6 linked regions of the Ovis aries genome follow. The protein of the gene in region 1 purifies or fractionates together with the protein of each later gene. This does not show direct contact. Links are inferred from orthologs where the notes say so. Each region holds a gene or a part of one and is shown in the gene's direction. Other genes may lie near its edges. The genes, in order: TULP3, WDR19, KBTBD7, SIRT1, IFT43 and IFT140.

Region 1 (3,406 bases):
CTCGTGAAACTGCACGAAGCCTGTTTAAAATATCAGTGGAGTGGGACTTCCCTGGAGGTCCAGTGGCTAAGATTCTACTCTCCTAATGCTGGGGGCCTGGCTTTGGTCCCTGGTCGGGGAACTAGATCCCACATGGCGCAACTAAGACCTGGTGCAAGCAAATAAATAAAGTGTCAGTGGAGGTTTTAGGGGTGAAGTTACAGATGATGATGTGGAGGCTGAGGCTAGTGAATTTAGAAAAATTAGGCAGTTGGGAGACTCTGGTGGTGAATTCTAAGAGGCATAATCAGGATTAGAAAAAGTGGTAAGACCTAGAGATTGGTCTTCTCTGAGAAAACCCCAAACGGCAGATGTGCTGGTGCTGCGAAAGGGCTGGAGGCCCCAGGGCCCTGGGAGAGGAGACCACAGGGGCTTCCACCGTGGCACCTAGGGCCCAAGGCCATAGAGCACACAGCAGCAAGGTCAGGGACAGGGAGTGGGGGCCCCTCGCTCAGCTGGGTGCCTCATCCAGGCTCTGCGGAAGCCCCGTCTTGTGCCTGTCCATCTGGGAACCCGAGATGATTCACTTCTTCCTGGGAGTACCCTTCCAGGACTAGGTTTTGAATATGATGCATGAGTTTAACACGTGCCAGCCTGCACACCAGGGGCCAGGCGTCATCACCACTGGGGTTCCAGTGCATAGAGGCTGGTCTGGGTGTTTGGGGCTTCAGGGAGGTCACTGCTGCCATCCGTGAGGCCGTGGTTCTCGCCAGGTTCTCCAGTCCTTGTGTGGTGAGGCCGCTGGGAGTGGGATCAGCAGGCCCCACTCCATCCTGCAGGCTGACCGGCCCCTCGGCTCCTGGCTGGCGCCTCTCACCCCCGCCCTGGGACCCTAGCATAGCCTCTGCTCCTATGCCTGGAAGCTGCCAGCTGGCCAGCGTGAACAGCGCTGTGCTGTGGCTGGGCTGCACGCCGCCCCGGGCGCTGTGCTGAAATCATCTCTGATGTCGTCGCCAAGACTTGGGCCGCCTCACCCCAGGCTCTGAAGGGAGAGTGTCTGAGAATGCGCTGAGCACGACCCACACTGGAGTCTCAGTGCAGAGGACTCCAGCTGTAGCCACCATGTGGCTTTTCTACAAGAAAAGTTAAAGCAAATTAAACCGGTTTAAAAATAGAAAAGACCCAGAGGGGGACTGCTTGGTATAGGACAGGCAGCTGCTGGATATTTGTTCACTGAATAGGTAGGACACACATACACACCTGGCAGCTCTTGAGTGCATTTTTTACTGAAATGTTTTTTCCTTTTCTAGATATTTCTTCTTGCAGGTAGGAAGCGGAAAAAGAGCAAGACATCCAACTACCTCATCTCCACGGACCCCACAGACCTGTCCCGAGAAGGGGAGAGCTATATTGGCAAGCTCAGGTGGGGGCAGCCTCATGTCACGTCCTCTTCTTGTGGGGGCTTGATTCCTGTAGTCTCAAAGCAAGTCCACGCTGGTTTTACAGTGACCTGGTTTGATGCCATCTAAAGAAATAAGTTAATAGAAAGCCCAAGGCCTCTCCATGTTTTAAGGATGAATCTTTGAGAGAGTGACTCAAAATGAGAGAAAGTTACAGAGCTCTGTGGTGACCTTTCCTCTTGATTCTAGGTCCAACCTCATGGGGACTAAGTTCACCGTGTATGACCACGGTGTGAGCCCGGCCAAGGCCCAGGGCCTGGTGGAGAAGGCCTACATGCGTCAGGAGCTGGCCGCCGTGTGCTACGTGAGTGCCATCTTGCCGGCCTCCTGACCAGCCCCGGGCTCACAGGCTGCCACCCCTCCCGCCCCGCCATGCTTGTTTCCCTGTGTGCTCAGGTTTACTTGTGATCCGCCAAGTCCAGTGTATTTACTGTTCCGGCAGGCCCTGTCTCCTCTGCTCTTGTCCCTCCCCTGTGCCGTGGTGGTGTGAGTGCTCACTGCGTTCCCGCTGACACACTGGCTGGAGGTGACAGTGACTTGGGAGCTGGTCCCTCCTTCCATCGTCTCCAAGCTGGCTTGCTGTGGGTCGCTGCTGCCAAGCGGCCCTGCTCCAGCAGACGACGTCCTTCCGCTCCGCGGCCTCTCAGGCTGCTCCCCACCGAATCTAGAGTCCAGCCCGGACCTTCCGCCTCACCCTCTGGCCCCCCTGGCAGCACGCTCCCTGCCCCTCGAGCTGCCGCAGCCTTCCTCTCTGGCCGCCCCCTCCCTCCGCCCCAAACCTGCCCGCCCCCTCCTGCCTGCCCACCAGGGTCTGCAGAGGGGCCTCTCCCCACACAGGACATGCTTGACGCTCCCCTCGGCTCTCCTCGATTCCTCTCGCAGCCTGTGAGCTACCCTCGTCATGCTTCTGATCCTTCTCTGACCACTTTGTAAACTCCCGCTCACTGCTATTTCCGCACAAACCTGGACCCGCCGTGTAGAGGGCATGCAGAGTCAGAGAAGCGAGAAGGAATTAATGCGACTCAGTTGTTGCTTTGATCCTAGAGTCTCAGCTTTTCTTCAGTTGGAATTAATCTCATCACTTGATTCCCATGAGATTTTATCTGTGTGACTGAGAATCATTTGACTTAACCCTTTATAACCTATGGTATGTTTTCTCTTAGCTTCAGAATCAATTAAATATTTTAACTATGCATGACTTTAATATGCATGTATATATGTATGTAAATATATACACATCCACATATTTAATGTACTTATTCATGTATAATCTGCTTGGCTTGATAGGCATTTTAATTTTTTACTTCCAAGTATAGGCCTTAGTTAAACTGTAATTCTCCCTGTATATCATATAGTGCCATGTCCTTAGTTGGGAAATAGATATTTATTGATGATGATAAAACTGGGCAGTTTGCTCAAATTGTCTTAAATTTCACGTCAGGCTAAAGAAGAGTAAGGTTTCTAGATAATAGAATCTGCTTTAAATTCAAATGTTCAAAGTAGGTTAAAAAGAGGAAACAGTATTATTTTCCTGGTCTTGATTCCCCATCTCTTTGTTTAACTACAGTGAAGTAAGTGAATGGTTTTTAGTGCTCTCCACCTTGTGGACGTTGCGCGTGCCCAGCAGAGTCTTGTGTTAAGAATGTTGTCGCTTTTTCTTTTCTGTTTCTAGTTCCTGCTTATTTCCCTCTCTTCTAGGAGACAAATGTTCTTGGATTTAAAGGCCCGAGGAAAATGTCTGTGATCATCCCTGGGATGAATATGAATCATGAACGGATTCCTTTTCAGCCACGAAATGTAAGTAGAGTGTATTTGTTTTTAATGTCTTTATTTTTAATTGAAGGATAATCGCTTTATAATATTGCGTTGGTTTCTGCCATATATCAGCATGAATCAGCCGTAGGTATACATATTTAATCATCAGAGGACCCTAAAAATAAGACCGTGATGCAGACAAAGTCCGTAGA
Region 2 (3,941 bases), on another chromosome or scaffold:
GAAGCCCCTGTGGTTAGGTTGTACGCACTGTGTGCCTAGGGCACATGTGCAGGAGTTAGAAAAGTCTCTGTGGTTATTTCTATAGCATCTGTGAATTTTCCTGAGTGTGTCTGGGAGGGGTTTTAGAGATCAGCTTGCATCCTTTTTGGCTAGGCCACTCCTTGTTGCACATGCCTAACTTGCTACCTAACAGTACTAACCACTCTAAAAAATGTGCTTTATTATTTGACCTAAATAACTGTGTCAAATACACATATATCATAATTATAAACACAAAGTAAAACTCGTATACACAGGGACAAAAACTAGAGAGAACTATAGCACCCTAATTAATACATTGATGTGAGACTTCATGTTTCTTTTCTCTTTTTAACTAATTTAATTCTCCCATATCGGCTAAACATAATACATACAAATTCGTAAGCTTTTCTCCTGTTAACTGGCCTTCTGTCAGTTTAATTCTCAGCCCCTAAAATTAAGTTTCTCCCTCTTAACATTCCCTAAATCTAATAAGTCCCATTCACTCTGTTTTAATTATTATCAATACAAAAACAATTTCCGAATTTCTACTTGTCTAACCTTTTTCTCCTTCACCCAATCACCTATTTAAGACATCTCCGATTAAATGTGTGGGTCTTGCAGCCAAATTTAAATATCTGAAGACACAAACATATTCCCAGCCAAAATCAGCCTCCAAATTGAATATCCTTTGAACAGCTGCAGTGTGAGCTCTTTGCGTGAACTGTGTAAGAGTACTGCCCCAGAAATCAACTCCCGCCTCTTCTTATACAACACTCAGCTCCTTGAAGTTCTCAGCGACTCTACTCGCCACCACTGATTTCTTTGTAGTCAGGGCCTAAGTTTACGCCGGCGGCTTCCACATCTCACAGAACTCTCCGGTGTCATCCAATCAGGGCCCAAGTAGAAAGCCAAAGCTCAGCAACGCCTCACGACGTTCAACTACTCAGGGCCTTGCTTCGCTGGCATCACGTGACTCAAGTCCCCGCCTCCCGCCCACTCCCTCCGTGGTTGTTTGGGGGCACCGCCCTTCAGCTGGCGCCCGCTGATTGGTTATTGCTCGCGCGGTCTCCTGGGTGACGGGAACGCGGTGGCTTTCTTGATGAAGACCGGGTGCGCTTGCGCACTTGTTAGATCGCGCGGCTGCTGGATCTTTTGAGATGAAGGTAAATAACTTACAAACCCGGGGGTGCGGGAAGATGCGACCACTGGCCAGTCCCTTAAACTCTCCGAGAGTCACTTTGAGGATAGAGGCTTGTGACCTTCCTTCCTTCTCCCGAGTGCTTGAGAAATGGGGAAGGGAGCGGGGTGACCCGGGAGAGCAGAGGCGAAGTTGAAGAAATAAGGGCAAAGGAAGGAAAATTGAAGAGACGGCGGGGAGGGAGGCCTCTCATTTCTGGGACCGCGGACGGAGTTGGTGCGTTTTGGCCACCCCTCCACTGCTGGAAATGAGCAGACTGGATCTGAAGAGACTCCGAATTCGCCCCAATTCACACGGCGGGCAGAACGAGTTTGGGGAAAAAAGCGTTTGGAGGATCCTTGTGAAGTTGGCTCGTTCGAGTGTCAGGAGCTGCCTCATTTCTTGCAGCTAAACACCTGGCAAGCCTCGCAGCTCTTCAGCTCCTTAAAATGAGTGAAAAGCTCCGAAAGAATCTCAAATTGTATTGGCTGTGACTGGCGCAATTTACAGATCATCTGCTGACGGTGTATATTATTCACGGGGAAATCTGCATGCACGGGTCTCAATCTCTAGAGCGTCATCCTTTGCATGCACCGTTTTTAGGATTGGGCTTCTTATGAACCCCATTCCCGGGTCACTGGCTACAGCTCATTCACCCATCGCCTTACCAAACAGCACCCCCGCCCCGCTCCTAGTGCCCCCTACTCCCCAACACCCCACCTCCCCACCGCCCCCCCCCCCACCACACACAGGCCCTGATCTGGCATAGAAATGGAAAGCTTAATTTTTTTCATTGTTTTGTACATTTTCGTGGCTATAGTGGAAATTGGAGTTGACCTGTAATCTTAATTCACATTTCTAAAGCTCTTCGCCATTTACGAAATACTTGTAGCTCAGTTGGTAAAGAAAATGCCTACAGTGCGGGATACCTGCATTCGATTCCTGGGTTGGGAAGATCCCGTGGAGAAGGAAATGGCAGCCCACTCCAGTATTCTTGCCTGGAGAATCCCATGGACTGTAGCCTGCCAGGATCCTCTGTCCATGGGGTCGCAAAAGTCCTACACGACTTAAGGACTAAACCATCAGTGTAAGGAGATATTGTTATTCCTGGTTTACAGTTGAGAATTCTGTGCCTGAGGCCATTTAATAGACCTGCTTTAAGCCCTACAGCTAATAAGTGAAAAGCAAAATCTGGAGTTCCCTGGTGATATTCCTTTCTTTCACTGTCAAGGGCCCAGGTTAGTTACCTGGTTAGGGAACTAGGATCCCACAAGCCATGTGGGTGGCCAAAAAACAATTGTATTAAAAAATAAAGATTGAAAAAAAAAAGATCGAAAGAAAAAAAAAAGCAAAGTCTAAGGGTTCGTTTTCTGGTTGTGAAGCTAGCACCCTTTTATGGGGTGTTGTATGTGTATAGAGCACCTGTTGACCTCCTTCGAAGAAAAATAGTATGTAAAATCACAACCAGAGGAGATCTACCAAGAAGCTAGTGACATTCAAATTTAGGGCACCCTCACTTGCATATAGGGGTTCCAGGGCAATGTGGTCATAAAATCGCAAAAGTAAAATGCTTTTATGCTTTTTTTTTTTAAAGGGTGTCCTTGCTCCACACAACTTGGATGCACCTGTGATTATAGGCACCTCTGTTTTCAGTAGAGGTGGATTTGATCATCTTTTTAACGTAGTAATTGCCGGTGATTGGTATAAAATTTAGACCATTGGAAGAGTTTTGTGTTACCATTGAGACTGTCACACCACCTGCAATTGTATCTAAACTTCACTTGCCTCAATATAGGCATCATTGTTTAATTTTTAATTTAACCTAATGTTAAAATGTAAATTCATTCATTCAAACTCTTATGGTCCTAGATGTTTTGTATCAACACTGTTTAATATAAATATAATGTAAGCCAATGTACTTTAAAATATTTAGTAGCCACATGACCTAGAGAGATGTTATGGGGAGGGAGGTGGGAGGGGGTTCATGTTTGGGAACGCATGTAAGAATTAAAGATTTTAAAATTAAAAAAAAAAAAAAGAAACAGGTAAGGTTACCTTTCATAATATATTTTGTTTTACCCAGTATATCCAAAACATTATCATTTCAACATGGACTCAGTATGAAAAATTATCAGTAAAGATAGTTTGCCTTCTTTCCTGTATTGTCTTTGTTTTTTTTAATATAAATTTATTAATTTTAATTGGAGGCTAATTGCTTTACAGTACTGTATTGGTTTTGCCATACATTGACATGAATCCACCACAGGGGTACACGTGTTCCCCATCCTGAACCCCCCTCCCCCCCCCTCCCTCCCCATACCATCCCTCTGGGTCATCCCAGTGCACCAACCCTGAGCATCCTGTATCATGCATAGAACCTGGACTGGTGATTCATTTCACATATGATAATATACATGTTTCAGTGCCATTCTCCCAAATCATCCCACCCTCGCCCTCTCTCACAGAGTCCAAAAGACTTCTGTGCATCTGTATCTCTTTTGCTGTCTCGCATGCAGGGTTATCATTACCATCTTTCTAAATTCCATATATATGTGTTAGTATAGTATATTGGTGTTTTTCTTTCTGGCTTACTTCACTCTGTATAATAGGCTCCAGTTTCATCCACCTCATTAGAACTGATTCAAATGTATTCTTTTTAATGGCTGAGTAATACTCCATTGTGTATATGTACCACAGCTTTCCTATCCATTCATCTGCTGATGGACATCTAGGTTGCTTCCAT
Region 3 (4,082 bases), on another chromosome or scaffold:
ATCTTTTAGGTTCAAAATCAAACAGTCTAGATATAGAAAAATTGAAGCAACAAATCACATCTACCTTCAGCAGCATTCCCCCTGTGTTATAGAACACTGACTTCTATAATGCACTATCCACTAGTACCTCCTTTCTAAATCCAAAAAATTGGGTACCCCATACGATGGCTACTTATGCGCTGATCTGTTTATTGTTTGTTATTGTTCTTGTAGGATTCCGAACGTTATGTGCCCGAGTCACCTCCGTCCAAAAAACAGGAGTAACTGTGGCTGCAGCAGTCCTTGCTCTTAAGGAAAAAGGGAGGAGATAAGGAGGAGCTGGAAGGCTTTGAGCAGACATGGAAAATGTATTTGCTCCACTTATGACGAAGGTTGGGAGCTGGAACGAGCATAACGGAGGGTTATGAGCGTGCATCGAGTGCCTGAGGCTGGAAACGGATGACGAAGGGTCAGTACGCCCGGCCTTGAAGCGTTCAAAGGCTTCCTTATGACCACCTGTTTCCTGGGAGCAAGGACTGTTGTTTCACGATAAGACTCCCTTTAGAGTTTTGCCAAAGTCACGTTATGTCTTAGGTGGTGGGAACTGTATTTTATGCTTGAATGCTTTAATGTTTATCTGGAATGGCTACGTGCAAGTCTGCCTTATGCTCTATTCCCTGAGAATTATAAAACTGCGCAGCTGGATAATCAACTTTGTCAGTCCACTAGAGGCTGTCCCTGAATGTTCCTTTCAGAGCGCGGTTCTCCGAGCCTTACAAGAAGCAACAGTAAACACAGTTTTCTTTGTAGAAATTGCTCATGGTTTCGAATAAGTGGATGCCTCATTTTTCATAAATTCTAAATGAAAAGCCAACAGTTACTCAATATTTGCATTTTAGTCACAGTGTAAACAATTATTAATCTAATCAACAAGTATTTATTGAAGCATCCTATGTCCTATGAAATTTAGATCATTCCATTCTCCCAGAATCCTATGAAATACTATTATGCCCAATTTCCAGACAGGGAAAAGTTCTGACAAAAAATTTACACAACTGGTGAATATTAAAACGGGACTTCCACTCTAGACTTCAAACCCACAGCTCTAAACCATCAAATCTGGAATAAACGCTTGCTGATTCTGTTAGTTAAAGCAGTAGACCCCCAGAAGCCTCGCGATATTACTGGAACTACTGATCCCAACATGCACAGCGGCTCCTGTGAGGCGGCCTAAGCCGCAGAGTCCGCGGGGTCCCGGCATGCCTCGAGGCGCGAAAGGCAACCTGGGAGCTGTAGTTCTCCTAGGCACCTACCGGTATTGCCAGCGCGGCGGTGGCGGACCGCTTGGTTCCAGTTTGTAGGTCCTGTGAGGGCGAGCTGAGGCGGAGAAAGGGCGTGGAACTGGAACCGGGTGAGTCAGGCACTGTCTACGCGATAAAGGGAGGCGGCACCGCGGAGCGGGGCTGACTTAAGTCAGCGCGGCAGTCTTTTCAGGGACACAGCGGTCTCGGCGTCAGCGAAAAGAGAGCGAGGAGGCGCCAGAGCCCGGTTCTCGTCCTTCTCTCCCCGCCGCCCTCTTCACCATGCAGTCCCGGGAAGAAGCTCCGCGCTCTCGCCGCCTCGCCAGTCCCCGCGGCGGGAGGCGTCCCAAGAGGATTTCCAAGCCCTCAGTTTCGGCTTTTTTCACGGGCCCGGAGGAGCTGAAGGACACGGGCCATTCTGCAGCCCTGCTGGCCCAGCTCAAGTCTTTCTACGACGCGCGGCTGCTCTGTGATGTGACCATCGAGGTGGTCACCCCCGGCAGCGGGCCTGGCACGGGCCGCCTTTTTTCCTGCAACCGTAACGTGCTGGCGGCCGCGTGTCCCTACTTCAAGAGCATGTTCACCGGCGGCATGTACGAGAGCCATCAGACGAACGTGACCATGCACGACGTGGACGCCGAGTCCTTCGAGGTGCTGGTCGATTACTGCTACACCGGTCGCGTGTCATTAAGTGAGGCCAACGTGCAGCGCCTTTACGCGGCCTCCGACATGCTGCAGCTGGAGTACGTGCGGGAAGCCTGTGCCTCCTTCCTAGCCCGCCGCCTTGACCTGGCCAACTGCACGGCCATCCTCAAGTTCGCCGACGCCTTCGACCATCACAAGCTGCGATCACAGGCCCAGTCCTTTATAGCCCACAACTTCAAGCAGCTCAGCCGAATGGGTTCGATTCGGGAAGAGTCGCTGGCAGATCTGACCCTGGCCCAGCTGCTAGCTGTCCTGCGCCTGGACAGTCTAGACATCGAGAGTGAGCGGACCGTGTGTCACGTGGCGGTGCAGTGGTTGGAGGCGGCTCCCAAGGAGCGGGGTCCCAGCGCTGCAGAAGTCTTCAAGTGTGTCCGCTGGACCCACTTCACTGACGAAGATCGGGGCTACGTGGAAGAGCTGCTGACCAAGCCCATTGTAAAGAAGTACTGTCTGGACCTTGTTGAAGGGGCCCTGCAGATGCGATATGGTGACATGTTGTGCAAGTCCCTGGTGCCCAAGCCAGAGAGCAGCAGCAGTAGCTCTGTTGTGTCCATAGCAGAAAATCCACCCCAGAGGCTGGGTATGTGTGCCAAGGAGATGGTCATCTTCTTTGGCCATCCCAGAGATCCCTTTCTGTGCTATGATCCATACTCGGGGGACATTTACACAATGCCATCACCTTTGACCAGTTTGGCTCACACTAAGACTGTCACCTCTTCAGCTGTCTGTGTCTCTCCAGACCATGACATCTATCTAGCTGCCCAGCCCAGGAAGGATCTCTGGGTGTATAAACCAGCCCAGAATAGTTGGCAGCAACTTGCCGACCGCCTGCTCTGCCGGGAGGGCATGGACGTGGCATACCTCAATGGCTACATCTACATCCTGGGTGGGCGTGACCCCATTACTGGAGTGAAGTTAAAGGAAGTGGAGTGCTACAGTGTTCAGAGGAACCAGTGGGCCTTAGTGGCTCCTGTACCACATTCCTTCTATTCCTTTGAACTCATAGTGGTTCAGAACTATCTTTATGCTGTGAATAGTAAGCGCATGCTCTGCTATGATCCTAGCCATAATATGTGGCTGAACTGTGCTTCTCTTAAACGGAGTGACTTTCAGGAAGCCTGTGTCTTCAATGATGAGATCTACTGCATCTGTGACATCCCAGTCATGAAGGTGTATAACCCAGCCCGGGGAGAATGGAGGCGTATTAGCAATATTCCCCTGGACTCGGAGACCCACAACTACCAGATTGTCAATCATGGCCAAAAGTTGCTCCTCATCACTTCTACAACCCCTCAGTGGAAAAAAAACCGGGTAACTGTGTATGAATATGATACAAGGGAAGACCAGTGGATTAATATAGGGACCATGTTAGGTCTTCTGCAGTTTGACTCTGGCTTTATTTGTCTCTGTGCTCGGGTTTATCCTTCCTGCCTTGAACCTGGTCAGAGTTTCATCACTGAGGAAGATGATGCACGGAGTGAGTCTAGTACTGAATGGGACTTAGATGGGTTCAGTGAACTGGACTCTGAGTCAGGAAGTTCAAGTTCTTTTTCTGATGATGAAGTCTGGGTACAGGTAGCCCCTCAGCGAAATGCACAGGATCAGCAGGGTTCTTTGTAAATATTTTGAAATACTAAGATGTTTCTATTGCTATGAATATATCTTAAAAAGATGTCCTTTCCTTTTTCTGGGGAAAAAAGAAAACTTTGATTAGGATTGCATATTTGGTTTAGAAAGGGTAATGTTTGAGTTGCTAATGTAATGTTATAAAATGTAAACAGTCCATGAAATCAGCTATATAATTTACTGTGCTGAAAGTTGAGATTAAAATATGCCTCCCCCCCCCCAAAAAATGAACCATGTAATTGATTAGAATGCTTGCTGGTTTTTTTTCTGTGTTCAAGAATTTGTTGCACTAGTGAATTGTTTTCATTAATTACACGGTTTATATTTTGATTATCTAATTTAGTCTTCTGTTCATTTTTAAATTCTGTTTAGTGTTGTGGGGGGGAAGTTAGCTTTTTCATTTTTGTGTAGAAAATTGGACTAGAAATTGTTGGCAGGGTTTTGAAGATTTCTATCTTCTGAATAATGAAA
Region 4 (4,209 bases), on another chromosome or scaffold:
AGATGGGACCTTCCAGTTACATTTTCAAAATTAGAACTGTTTTTTTAAAAGGATGAAACACCTTAAGTTGCGTTAAGTTCAAACAGTAATTGTCACTGTATAGACAGGACCCACTTAAAGCTTACGGACTGATAAACTATAAACTCACTACCCCTTAAGGGGGTAGAAGTGCTTTGTTTCAGAAACAGATGCCTACGAAGTTAGGCTCTGGGTCTGCCATGTATCATACGGGTTCTCAGTTAAGGCTAGATGTGGAGTGAGAGTCCTAAAATTTCAGGAAAAAACAGAAGAGGGACTTCAAGTAGGCAAGGAATTAATATTTTTGGCTACTATGTACACCCTTCACTTTACATCTGGCTATCTTTAATTCTCATCAAAACCCTACAAAATACTTATTAACCATTTTACAGAAAAGCTAAACTTCTCACGCTAGAAGGATCTCAAATTCTTACCCAAATCTACATGTTTGTAGCGGCCAAGTCATGTTCAGCCCAGTTATCTTCATACCACTCCACTTGAGCCGATATACTCATTTTATGAAACCTATACGAGGGAAATCACACATTTGGAGCCAAGCTGGGACCACGAAGCAGGTAGGCTGATCATCCCTCCGCCTCAAAGGTCTTTGCAGGACGCACACATGCCTTTGAGGGACAATCTACACCGCCCTACAAGGGATGGAGAGAGGAAGAAATAGCAATAATCTAAAGACAAAAGCAAAGAGAAAAAGGGAGCCAAAGAGAAGCTGTGCGAATGGGGTGTGGAGGTTGACAAGTGAACCGTGCTTTTGCCTCTATTTCTCTTGTAACTCAGCTGGTAAATAATCCGCCTGCAGTGCGGGAGACCTAGGTTCGACCCCTGGGTTGGGAAGATCACCTGGAGAAGGGAAAGACTACTCACTCCAGTATTCTGGCCTAGAGAATTCCATGGACCGTATAGTCCACGGGGTCACAGAGAGGTGGACAGGGCTGAGCGAACTTCACTTCACTTGTCCGTTAACAAACTGACCGATTACTTAGCACATTTCGGGAAGCTTAGCCTTAACGCCGCTCAGGAACTTAGTATTAACCCTTAGCATAAGTCAAGAAAAGACAAAGGCAGTCGAGCAAGGCGTGCTCTTCACGCAGAAGTGGAAACTCGCGGCGCAGAGCAAAACTTGAACCAACCCGCGGGCACTGATTTGAAGACTGAAAGACAAGTTTGGCTGCGAGACGCGCCGGCCTCCAAGGGGTGGGGCCGCAGCACCCAAGGCGGGGTTTCCTCCAGGCCCACGCCGCCTCCGCCTGCCACGTGACCCGCGGTGTTGTGGTCCGGCCCGCGTGGGTGGCGGGAGCGGCGGGAGGGCGGGGGCGAGGAGCGGCGCGTCACGTGACGGGGTTTAAATCTCCCGCAGCCGGAGCCGCGGGGGCGCCAGTGCCGCGAGTCGAGCGGGAGCAGAAGAGGCGAGGGAGGAGGGCCAGAGAGGCGGTTGAAAGATGGCGGACGAGGCGGCGCTCGCCCTTCAGCCCGGCGGCTCCCCCTCGGTAGTGGCGGCTGAGAGGGAGGCCCCGTCGCCGCCTGCTGGGGAGCCGCTCCGCAAGAGGCCGCGAAGAGACGGCCCCGGCCTCGGGCGGGGCCCGGGCGAGCCCGGCGGGACGGCCCCCGAGCGGGAACTGCCGGCGGCGGCCGGCGGCTGCCCGGCAGCGGCGGCGGCGCTGTGGCTGGAGGCCCAGGCGGCGGCGGCGGCGGCCGGAGAAGGAGACAATGGGCCGGGCTTACAGGGCCTATCCCGGGAGGCGCCACCGGCCGACGACTTCTACGACGACGACGACGAGGGCGAGGAGGAGGAAGAGGCGGCGGCGGCGGCTATTGGGTACCGAGGTGCGCAGGGCGCGGGCGGCCGGGACTGCGCATCCCCCCTCCTCCTCCCGGGGCCCCTCCTGTCGGGTGGTGGAGTCTCGGGCGGGTTGGGGGCTCGGGCCTGGCTCTGCGCCTTCCCCCTGCCGACCTGGGCCTTCAGCCGCGCGCCTGCGGGGCTGAGGGCTGGGCTGCGGGAGCGGCCCGCGGACTCGCTCCCTCCCTTGCTCTGTGCCACCCCCACCTTCCTCCCCGCGGCCCGCCCCAGCGGCCTCGCGTTTTGCGCAGCCGCGGGGCGGGCTACCCTCGCTGTCGGTTTTAAAATAAGTTTCTCTCCCCTCCTACTCCTTTAGTGTATTGCTTTTGTTAAATGCTGTTCGCTTCTCCGCCTCTCCCCGTCCCGCACACTTCAACCTGCAACTTTTTGACTGTCCCTTGCGCCAGCTTTTGCCATTGCCTGCGAAATTTGTTGGGGTTTTTAGGAGGGCCTCTATTTTCAAACTTGTTTTAAATTTTAAAGAGCATAGGTGTTTATAAAGACATTACCCTTCTGTGGTGCAATTAATAGTGGGCATAGGAGAGTAATAGTTTTTTAGACTACTTTGCCGTGAATAGTGTTTTTCCTCTAATCGTGTTCTTATAGTGGTTTTTACAGTAACTGTCTTCGTGTGTGTATATGTAACCCTGAAACACGAATTGACATTTTTCTGACATGCTAAAGTAGATGTGATAGTTGTGTGTCTCGTCATCCTTCAGTGTTTTCATAGTTTTTATCTAGATAGATATGCCTCTCCATTATTTGTACTAATAAATCCAACCAGTGGACCATTTGACTATATGTAAAGATAACGTGTGCATTAGGGACTGGATTAGAAAAACGACACTGTTTTCAAGAAACATAGTTTAATAAGGGAAACGAATAATGCAAAGGTACCTTTGTAGATTTTGCGTTATATAAGAGAGTGCAAGTTGCCATAGCTGTGTTTGCATGACTTTTTGGGTAACTTTTTATTTGGTAAGTTTTATGAACCACTATTTGTGATCGATAAATTCAGTCAAGGTTGCTACTTTTTGTGTTTTGATTAAGTAGACTTATTTCTAGATTTTGATGAAACTTAGCTTCTGAGCAGAATGCCTAAAGAGGATATACTGTTCCTGTGAACGGTGTGAGTTGATCCAGTAGACATTTTTTACGCGGGCAGTATGAGTGCTTTATTCATTGGAAATTGTTGCATCACAATAATTACAGAGCTTTATAATTTTAGATGCAGATTGTTTCCACAACCTTGAGTTACCTTTGGTTTCTTTTGCAGATGACCTTCTGTTTGGTGATGAAATCATCACCAACGGTTTCCATTCGTGCGAAAGTGACGAAGATGATAGAGCCTCGCATGCGAGTTCTAGTGACTGGACTCCAAGACCTCGGATAGGTATGGTTTCACAGGTTAAGAGCTATCTTTTCTCTGATATTTTCTTTTTATGTCGAGGAAAACTATATTTCTTTCTTCCCTTATTGTCTTGTGATGAGGTTCTTAGGCGTTTACTGAGATTTAATGTCAGCTTGGTTTTTAGGGGAAGTCTAGTACTTTGTTCTGTTTTTGTTTGTTAAACAGCATGGGCCCATGGAAGCTGGCCTGTGTAATTTCTCAAAAACCAGGTCCTCACACTTAAACGGTCCTTTCCACTTGTACCCTCCATATGGAATGGTCATCCTCCAAAGTATCTTGCTTCCTCCTTCATATCCTTCTATAATTTTTCTTCTTAACACTTACTGCTTGACAATTTCTGTGTATAACTTTTATTGCTGGTTTCCTGCATTAGAATATAGAGTCCCATGGGGGCCAGGGATTTCTGACTGATTTGTATACTGTTTAGTCGGTGCCTGGAAAAATTTGCCCTCAGTAAATACTAAGTATTTTGATGGAATGGGAAAGTATTTTGAAGTAGAGAATACTATGAGATTTTTATATCGAAGTAGTAACATGACCATCTCAAAATATTCTTTTTCTTAATGTGCTCTCATTTTTCCAGAAATGCCTTGACTATTTCAAGATCGTGATGATTAGTTTCTCTTAGTGTTTATATTGACTGTATTTTTGGTTTTCTTAAGCTAGGAACTGATTAAGAAATTTAGGGCAAAGAATTATTAAAGCTTAGAACATTAGCATTATATGCATCATTGCAAAGACAGGTTAAGATTAAATTGAAGATTATTACTGGGAACATTTTAAAGATAGTAGTTAAGGATAGATTTCATTTTCTTTGTGTTTTTAATGATAAATAGTGTGGGCTTTCAGGATGGGTAAGATCTTTATTGATTTGCAGAGCCCTTTTGTACATCTGTTGTATTTAAGTTATATTTTTTTAGGTTTT
Region 5 (3,259 bases), on another chromosome or scaffold:
TGAAAGTGGGAAGGGTCCTTTCCAGCTGCTCTTGGAATGATTCTGTATCTCTTTAAAAAAAAAAAAAAAAAAGTTGATTTAGTCCATAGAAGCAAAAAGGAAGGGTGTCTTCACTATTCTCGCCTCTCTGGAATTTTTAATATTTGTAGTTGGTTTGGGACTTCCAGGACTGTCTCTCCTTGCTTCACCTTTTTTTTTTTCTCTGTCCCATCTCTCTTTATCTCTGTGCAGACTAGTTAAAACAAAGGCACCCCCTCTACCAGTCAGTGATGCTCCCTGAGAGAAGGCAGTCCCTCCTTAGGGTGCTCGAGAAGAGGGCTGGTTTCTCTGCTGTGAGCAAGTTGCCGCTGTTAAGTGACGTGCTGTCTCTCTGCTTCTTCCTTCGCGTGAGCGTGTTAGATTGACGAAAGGAATGGCCTCGTGTCTCCTCCTGTGTCTGTATGTCCGTCTCATACAGAGAATTCAGAAAAGAAGAATCTCCAGGAGACAGCAAGAGCAGCGTCATCTTTCGAGTCAGCACTGTTTAGGATATTAGACCTGGCCAATGGAGACGCGAGCTTCCCTCATAGCTCAGCTAGTGAAGAATCCACCTGCAATGCAGGAGACCCCAGTTTGATTCCTAGGTCAGGAAGATCCCCTGGAGAAGGAAACGGCTACCCACTCCAGTATTCTGGCCTGGAGAATTCCATGGACTGTATAGTCCATGGGGTTGCAAAGAGTCGGACACAACTGAGTGACCTTCACTTTCAGTGGAGCTGCTGGTCCTGTACGCTGCCGGGAAGCCAGGTCACATCATTAGGTGTAAAGTGACCTTGCAGATACAGACTCAGGGCTGTGATGGTTGTGAAGACTAGGACGATCTGATGCACGCATGGGCCTTGGTCGTGAGGAAGTGCGCTCATGAAGACGTCTGCCTGGTGACAGGGCGTGTTCCCCGTTCCTCTGTCTCTGACCACGCCAGGCTCACTCAGCTCCTCTTTTCCTTCCTCTCCTCTAAGTGCTTCCCCCCAGGGCTGTCTAGGACTTTCTTCTCATTTCCTTACATTTCTCCTTGGAGAGCTTCTCCCATGGCTCCTAACATAGACCAAATGTCAAGACCACCCAAGAAATCTTATGGGAAAATTCAGCCTCCCAGGCCCCACCCAGGAAACTTTAATTCCTGCAGGTTCTGGGGTAGTAAAGCCTGAGATTCGGAAATTGTTGAAGTTCCACCTTCGATTCTCATGCACACCTCAAGTTCAGTTCCATCACCCTGAATCGGGGGGGGGGGGGAGGCGGTGCTGGAGGCTGGAGACCATCTGAGTGTCCGTTCTACCCAAAGCCTGTAGCCCTTACGGTGGCCAGGGCGTTGGAGCTGCTAAGTCGTCAGTGGGGAAGTAGGCTAGACCCCCACTCACGCTGCTGATAGTCTGGCCTACCCTCTGGTTGCAGATATCCCTGTTATTCCGGACCTGGAGGAGGTACAGGAGGAAGACTTCGTCTTGCAGGTGGCAGCCCCTCCCAGGTGTGTTATATTCGCCTGAAGTTGGAGGGAGGTTGGGGAACGTGCCAGGCGCCATCAGCAGTGATGCTGCCCCCTTGGGGAGATCCACACGTCTCTAGTGTGGGCCCCATCCCAGGGTTCCCATTTTATTGCACATTTTTTCCCCATTCTGGTCCTTCCCAGCTACCCAGGAGGCTCTGGGCATGGCGGCCTGGCAGCATGGCTGGCGTCGGTTCCTGCCCACATTCTGTCTTTCCCACAGCATCCAGGTCAACCGAGTGATGACCTACCGTGACCTGGACAATGACCTCATGAAGTACTCAGCCTTTCAGACCTTGGTGAGTGGACGGACAGCTGCTACACAGAGGGGCAGGCGCCCACCGACATCTGCAGAAATTTCTCAGTTTCTCCCAGGCCTTGCAGCCCCTCCTCCGTGAGGCTCTGAGGCTGCCAGGCGACAAGCCCTTTGCCAGAGACATCCTCCTCGGGTATTAGAGCTTCCCTGGACCCAGCCTATCCCAGTGTTCTCAGGGCCAGTCTCCCCCGTGCCCCCGCCTGCCCTCTTGGCATCGGTAGACGTGCTGCATCATGCCTGCCCCTCCCAGGTGTTCACTTTGCCCCAAGGAGTGCCCAGCCCGTAGGACATCGTGGTGCCCACCCCAGCTCTCAGTGGCCATGTGGTCCACCCACAAGTTTGCTGTTTCACAAGGTGTTCCTGCAGGCCTGGGGTTGGAAAGTTCTACCCCACTCAACTTGGTCCCCAGAGGTCATTGTCCAAAGGCCCCACAGTACACGTACCCCCTCCTGCCCCGACATTCACAGGATGGAGAGATTGACCTGAAGCTCCTCACCAAAGTCCTGGCGCCAGAGCATGAGGTTCGAGAGGTACGTGGCAGCGGCAGGTCCTGCCCCTCGGCCGTGAGCAGCGGGCCCCGAGGCTGACCTTGGTGGGAGGCTGGCTGTGCCCGAGGGGAGGGCCTCCCCCGTCTCACCCCAGGATGCCTCTCTCGGCAGGACGATGTCAGCTGGGACTGGGACCATCTGTACACAGAGGTGTCCTCCGAGCTCCTCAACGAATGGGACGCACTGCAGACAGACAAGGAAGGCCCCGTGGGGCGGCCCGCACACACCTGAGCCGTGGAGTTGCTTTCCCTGCACGCACACACCTCCGCTCTGGACTTGAAGAAAAGGCCATAAACCTAAAGAAGCTCTCAAGAGGCTCGGGATTTTTATATATGGACTATTTTGTAATAAAAATATTTTCTCTTGTAAGAAATTGCATCGTTCTGTGGCAAGAAATTGCTTTTGCTCTGTAACCCTCTCTTCCATTCGTTTGCACCGCCCTCTGGAAAAATGCATCAGGGGTGAAGAAAGGCATCTTTTGAGCCAGTGATGGGAACTCGCCCCATCGCTGAAGAGCAGGAGGGAAAGCTAGATGAGGAAGGGGAAGGCTCTGCACTCTGTTCACAGAGGCCACGGCAGCTCCAGGGAGCATCTCCTGCTGGGGGCCTGGGGAGGGCCTGGCTGGACGCCTTTCTCCCTTTGGATGGTCAGTGACATTGGTGACATTTCACTGTCTCCTTTGTGCTTTCAGGGCCACTTAGCTGAGGGATTGTCGCCTGGCAGCCTCAGAACATGTGATAAGGTGACCCCATTGCCCATGTCAGGGTTCGGTGGCTCTTCTGATAGCATGCCCCTCCCTCCTACTTCCTGCAACCCAGGCCTGGAGCTCCCAAAGCACGTGTTTCCCTTCTGTCCCCCCAGGTTCCCAGGGCC
Region 6 (3,500 bases), on another chromosome or scaffold:
CCCTGGTTTCATAGGAGGTCATGTCACAAGAACCAGGGGTTTAGGAATCAGCTTATCTTTAGGGGCCACACAGCTCCATAACAGGAACTTTCTAGAAAATCCTACTTCACCAAGGAAAATGGATTTCCTTTCCCACCCCCTGCCCCACCCTCCCCCGAAATCTGCCTCTCGTGCTTTGGGTCCGCACCCTCCCATCCCCTCCCCTCACGTAGCACCCTCCTGTGATGTCCTCCGGAGAGCACACCCAAGGGGCTTCCTCACTCAGCTCCCTGCGTCCAGCCTCCCCCGTGCCCGACTGGCCTCCTCTCCCTCCATCTCCTCCTCCTCCTGAGGCTACGTTACCATCTCTTGGGGGACAACTCAGGCCTGCGGTCCAGCCTGCCAGTTCCACTGGACCGCCAAGGAATTCCCTAGATAAAACTTCAAAATTTAGAAAATTTAAAGCACACTATTACAAAACAAACAAGCGTGCTTCGTGTGTTTCTAATTGGTAGAAGGAAAACTGTAGGATTTCAAAATTATGATTTATTCGATGATAAGAAGGTCACAGATGTAGCAGGTATAACTGGAGATTGGTAGGAAGAGCCCAGTAGAAGTGCTGAGAACAGAGTTAATCTCTGAAAACACACACATTTATACTTTTAACCTGCTGCCTTTGAAAATTCTAGAAAACATGAGAATATAAGAGCACATATCTTATTAACTCTTATGGCAATGACATCGTCATATACCACAAAGTTTCCGGAAAACTCCACTGTTCACTTGTGAGAGAATGAGAGTTAACAAGGCAAACCACATCCTAGTATCATTCTGAAAATGACTTTGGCTTTGCAGACCTCAATAAGGTTCTTAGGGTCACCTAGCCACACTTTGAGAACCTTGAGTCAGCACGCTTCACCCACTGGCCCAGCACTTGCTTTTGTAAATAAAGTTTTATTGATAAGCTGGTTTGTGGGGTCTGTTAAATGTTTGCCTTGTGCTGTCATAGTTCAGCTGAGGCAAGATGGGTGTTTCTATGACAATTAAATAGACTGTTTCTTTAATAAGCAGCTTGTTATGTCCTCTACCTGATATCATTCCACTGATGAGGCAGAAATACTTGGTCGTCACCGTTCCCCGTAATAAGGGCTTTACTTTGTGTGTCGCAGGGCGAGTGCGTGCCAGACACCCATGTCGAGAGGTCGTTCCGGGTCACCTCCCTGAGCTGGCACCCGACGCGGCTGATCCTGGCTATTGGCTGGGAGTCTGGGGAAGTGGTCATGTTTAACAAGCAGGACAAGGAGCAGCACGCAGTCCCTGCCACGCACACGGCCGACGTCGCCATCCTCGCCTGGAGCCCCAACGGGAACTGCCTGGTGTCGGGAGACAGGGTGAGCAGCCGCGCGGCGGCCCCCTCGGGGTCGCAGGCTCGCCGTCTGTGCTCTCAGGGACACGGGAGGCCCTCAGGGACCAGGCTATTCGTGATGCATGGTTGCCGGGCTCTGCTGAGCTTGTCAGCTGTCACAAGCTGTGTTTTATGTTGGGAGCAAGATTTGAAAGTTTCATTCTGCCTTCTCACCCTGTGGCAGAAGTGTGCAATTTTGTAAATGAACATCTCTGGATAACTACAGTCACACAGATGGGGTGGTGCCTCAGGTACCCCGAACCCCGGTGTGCCCTCTGAGCACACTGCTTCGTTGCCCAAGAGTCCCTGGTCCCCATCGTCTGGCCTGGGGCCTCCTAAGCAGGTGGACGTGGAGAGATCGTTCGTAGTCATAAGGGAGGGGGTGCTTTCCGCTGGCATCTGGTGGGTGGAGGCCAGAGTCACTGCTCAGCATCTGCCAGCGCTCAGGACAGACCCCACCGCAGAGAATCACCAGCCAGAGACGTCTGTAGGGCCCGGGCTGAGAGGCCTGCTCTAGACCTGTTTGCCCCAAAAGGGACAGTAGAAAGTGTACGGTGTGTTTGTTTCTTTCGCATTTTCAAGGTAATACGTTTGCATGTTTCAGAGCTCAAAAGATGCTAAAAGGCACACACTGCAAACACTCTCCTCACCACCCCCACCCTGCCCCCGGTACCTGCGGCTCCTTCATGTCTCTCTGGGTTCCTACGGGAACACACAGGAGCACGCAGTGCGTTCTCTCCCCAGCTTCCAGTTTTGAAAAATCACCAACGTTAGAGGAAGGAGCACAAGGAGTACCCTTGTGCCCTCACTGTGAGTTCAATAGCTGTTAACATTTTGACACATCGGCTCTCTGGGCGTCTGTACACCCCCGCGTGTTGGGGAGTTTGTCGCAGCCGTCACACTTCACCCCTCGATGCGCTGGCTTCCGTCTCCTCGACACGTGACCACGTTGCTGCCGCACAGGAGGGCGAGGCCCGCACGCTCCCCACCGCGGCCGGTGTGGCGGCTCTCCCTGCCGTCCTGGTAGCCCGTCCTCAGCCGGGGCCGCCCAGCGTGCTCTGCCTCTGCCATCATTCCTCTTTTGTCTCCTTCCGCCGTAACTGGTCTCTGCTCTCTTCTTTCGTCTCTCTCTCTTTTGTTTGGTCTTTCCTGACATCGCCGTTTTGAGGGGTCCAGCTCGTAACTGTGTAGCAAGGCCCTTGGTTCAGATCTGTGTGGCTGTCTCCTGAGCACTGTGAGTGTCTTCACACAGGGGACACCGTCCCCTCCCTGCTTTCCTGGATCCTTGTCACGTGAGCGGCAGCACCCGGCACACACTGTTGCATCTCAGGCTTTCCAGCGGAAGCCGTGCCTTCCACTCTCCACGGCAGCGCACAGCAAGCCTCCTCACGCTCTTTAGACCTGCCCTTTTTGCCACGAACCTGTTATCGTTTGCCTTCGCAGCCCCTGTGGAATAGCAGTCTTCAGTTCTTCGCTGGACGGTGACATGACAGCTGGCCTCATGGTCTTGTCCTTTTGCACGTGCGAACTTTTAGAAAAAGTCCTGGAGGGCGGTGGGACCCAGGGCGTACCCTTGTGGTTTGATCGGTGTGCCCAGAGCTCCCTCCGTGGGGCTTGACTGGCTCACACCAACCCACGCGTGTGTCGTGACCAAGCTCAGGATCTTGTGGGAGAAGTGCTGCCTCAGTTGTGTTCCTTCGCGTGTGTTTCTCTTCCTCCTGAGGGTGAACGTTACCTAGAAAGCCATTTATACTTAATTTCTGCTCACACCACTTCTTCCTTGTTCTACTTGTTCTTTTTTTCCAGACGTTTCTTGGTTTTCTGTTCAATTCACACCTGGTGCCGTTGCACCACCCCAGGCTCCTTCTCCTGTGGGCTCCTACCCCTTCCCCCATGGGGATAAAAGGAGTCATGATCCTTGAACATCACCATTCGCATCTTGAAGAAAGGAGAAACAACTGATGTAGCGGATCACTTAAGCACGACCCGGAGCCCAGGTCACTGCTGACCGAGTTCTGGCGTCAGAGGATTTCAGGACAAAAACACCTGGTCCTTCTCTCAGAAAATCTGCAATTGTGTCCCAGTTTAATACTGGACTCCAACAGGAAGAGACGTA

Evidence for each region.
Region 2: the proteins of TULP3 (region 1) and WDR19 purify together in Homo sapiens (affinity purification with mass spectrometry; 5 studies listed by BioGRID and IntAct, counting the BioPlex papers as one, with this or other methods). This does not show direct contact. The link is inferred for Ovis aries from reciprocal best matches to the Homo sapiens genes TULP3 and WDR19.
Region 3: the proteins of TULP3 (region 1) and KBTBD7 purify together in Homo sapiens (affinity purification with mass spectrometry; 3 studies listed by BioGRID and IntAct, counting the BioPlex papers as one, with this or other methods). This does not show direct contact. The link is inferred for Ovis aries from reciprocal best matches to the Homo sapiens genes TULP3 and KBTBD7.
Region 4: the proteins of TULP3 (region 1) and SIRT1 purify together in Homo sapiens (affinity purification with mass spectrometry; 5 studies listed by BioGRID and IntAct, counting the BioPlex papers as one, with this or other methods). This does not show direct contact. The link is inferred for Ovis aries from reciprocal best matches to the Homo sapiens genes TULP3 and SIRT1.
Region 5: the proteins of TULP3 (region 1) and IFT43 purify together in Homo sapiens (affinity purification with mass spectrometry; 5 studies listed by BioGRID and IntAct, counting the BioPlex papers as one, with this or other methods). This does not show direct contact. The link is inferred for Ovis aries from reciprocal best matches to the Homo sapiens genes TULP3 and IFT43.
Region 6: the proteins of TULP3 (region 1) and IFT140 purify together in Homo sapiens (affinity purification with mass spectrometry; 5 studies listed by BioGRID and IntAct, counting the BioPlex papers as one, with this or other methods). This does not show direct contact. The link is inferred for Ovis aries from reciprocal best matches to the Homo sapiens genes TULP3 and IFT140.

What each region holds. Positions count from the first base shown.
Region 1 is NC_056056.1:212,688,177-212,691,582, reverse strand, and holds part of TULP3 (tubby-related protein 3), read left to right. Parts: intron 1-1,289; coding exon 1,290-1,402; intron 1,403-1,628; coding exon 1,629-1,743; intron 1,744-3,137; coding exon 3,138-3,236; intron 3,237-3,406. UniProt on the Homo sapiens protein: Negative regulator of the Shh signaling transduction pathway: recruited to primary cilia via association with the IFT complex A (IFT-A) and is required for recruitment of G protein-coupled receptor GPR161 to cilia, a promoter of PKA-dependent basal repression machinery in Shh signaling.
Region 2 is NC_056059.1:59,081,808-59,085,748, forward strand, and holds the start of WDR19 (WD repeat-containing protein 19), read left to right. Parts: upstream 1-1,141; 5' UTR 1,142-1,178; coding exon 1,179-1,184; intron 1,185-3,941. UniProt on the Homo sapiens protein: As component of the IFT complex A (IFT-A), a complex required for retrograde ciliary transport and entry into cilia of G protein-coupled receptors (GPCRs), it is involved in cilia function and/or assembly.
Region 3 is NC_056063.1:11,789,708-11,793,789, reverse strand, and holds the start of KBTBD7 (kelch repeat and BTB domain-containing protein 7), read left to right. Parts: upstream 1-1,282; 5' UTR 1,283-1,562; coding exon 1,563-3,605; 3' UTR 3,606-4,082. UniProt on the Homo sapiens protein: As part of the CUL3(KBTBD6/7) E3 ubiquitin ligase complex functions as a substrate adapter for the RAC1 guanine exchange factor (GEF) TIAM1, mediating its 'Lys-48' ubiquitination and proteasomal degradation.
Region 4 is NC_056078.1:23,633,183-23,637,391, forward strand, and holds the start of SIRT1 (NAD-dependent protein deacetylase sirtuin-1), read left to right. Parts: upstream 1-1,409; 5' UTR 1,410-1,475; coding exon 1,476-1,860; intron 1,861-3,149; coding exon 3,150-3,266; intron 3,267-4,209. UniProt on the Homo sapiens protein: NAD-dependent protein deacetylase that links transcriptional regulation directly to intracellular energetics and participates in the coordination of several separated cellular functions such as cell cycle, response to DNA damage, metabolism, apoptosis and autophagy.
Region 5 is NC_056060.1:85,547,911-85,551,169, forward strand, and holds the end of IFT43 (intraflagellar transport protein 43 homolog), read left to right. Parts: intron 1-1,431; coding exon 1,432-1,504; intron 1,505-1,745; coding exon 1,746-1,821; intron 1,822-2,204; coding exon of another isoform or gene 2,205-2,305; coding exon 2,306-2,368; intron 2,369-2,497; coding exon 2,498-2,617; 3' UTR 2,618-2,759; downstream 2,760-3,259. UniProt on the Homo sapiens protein: As a component of IFT complex A (IFT-A), a complex required for retrograde ciliary transport and entry into cilia of G protein-coupled receptors (GPCRs), it is involved in ciliogenesis.
Region 6 is NC_056077.1:1,755,934-1,759,433, reverse strand, and holds part of IFT140 (intraflagellar transport protein 140 homolog), read left to right. Parts: intron 1-1,148; coding exon 1,149-1,370; intron 1,371-3,500. UniProt on the Homo sapiens protein: Component of the IFT complex A (IFT-A), a complex required for retrograde ciliary transport and entry into cilia of G protein-coupled receptors (GPCRs).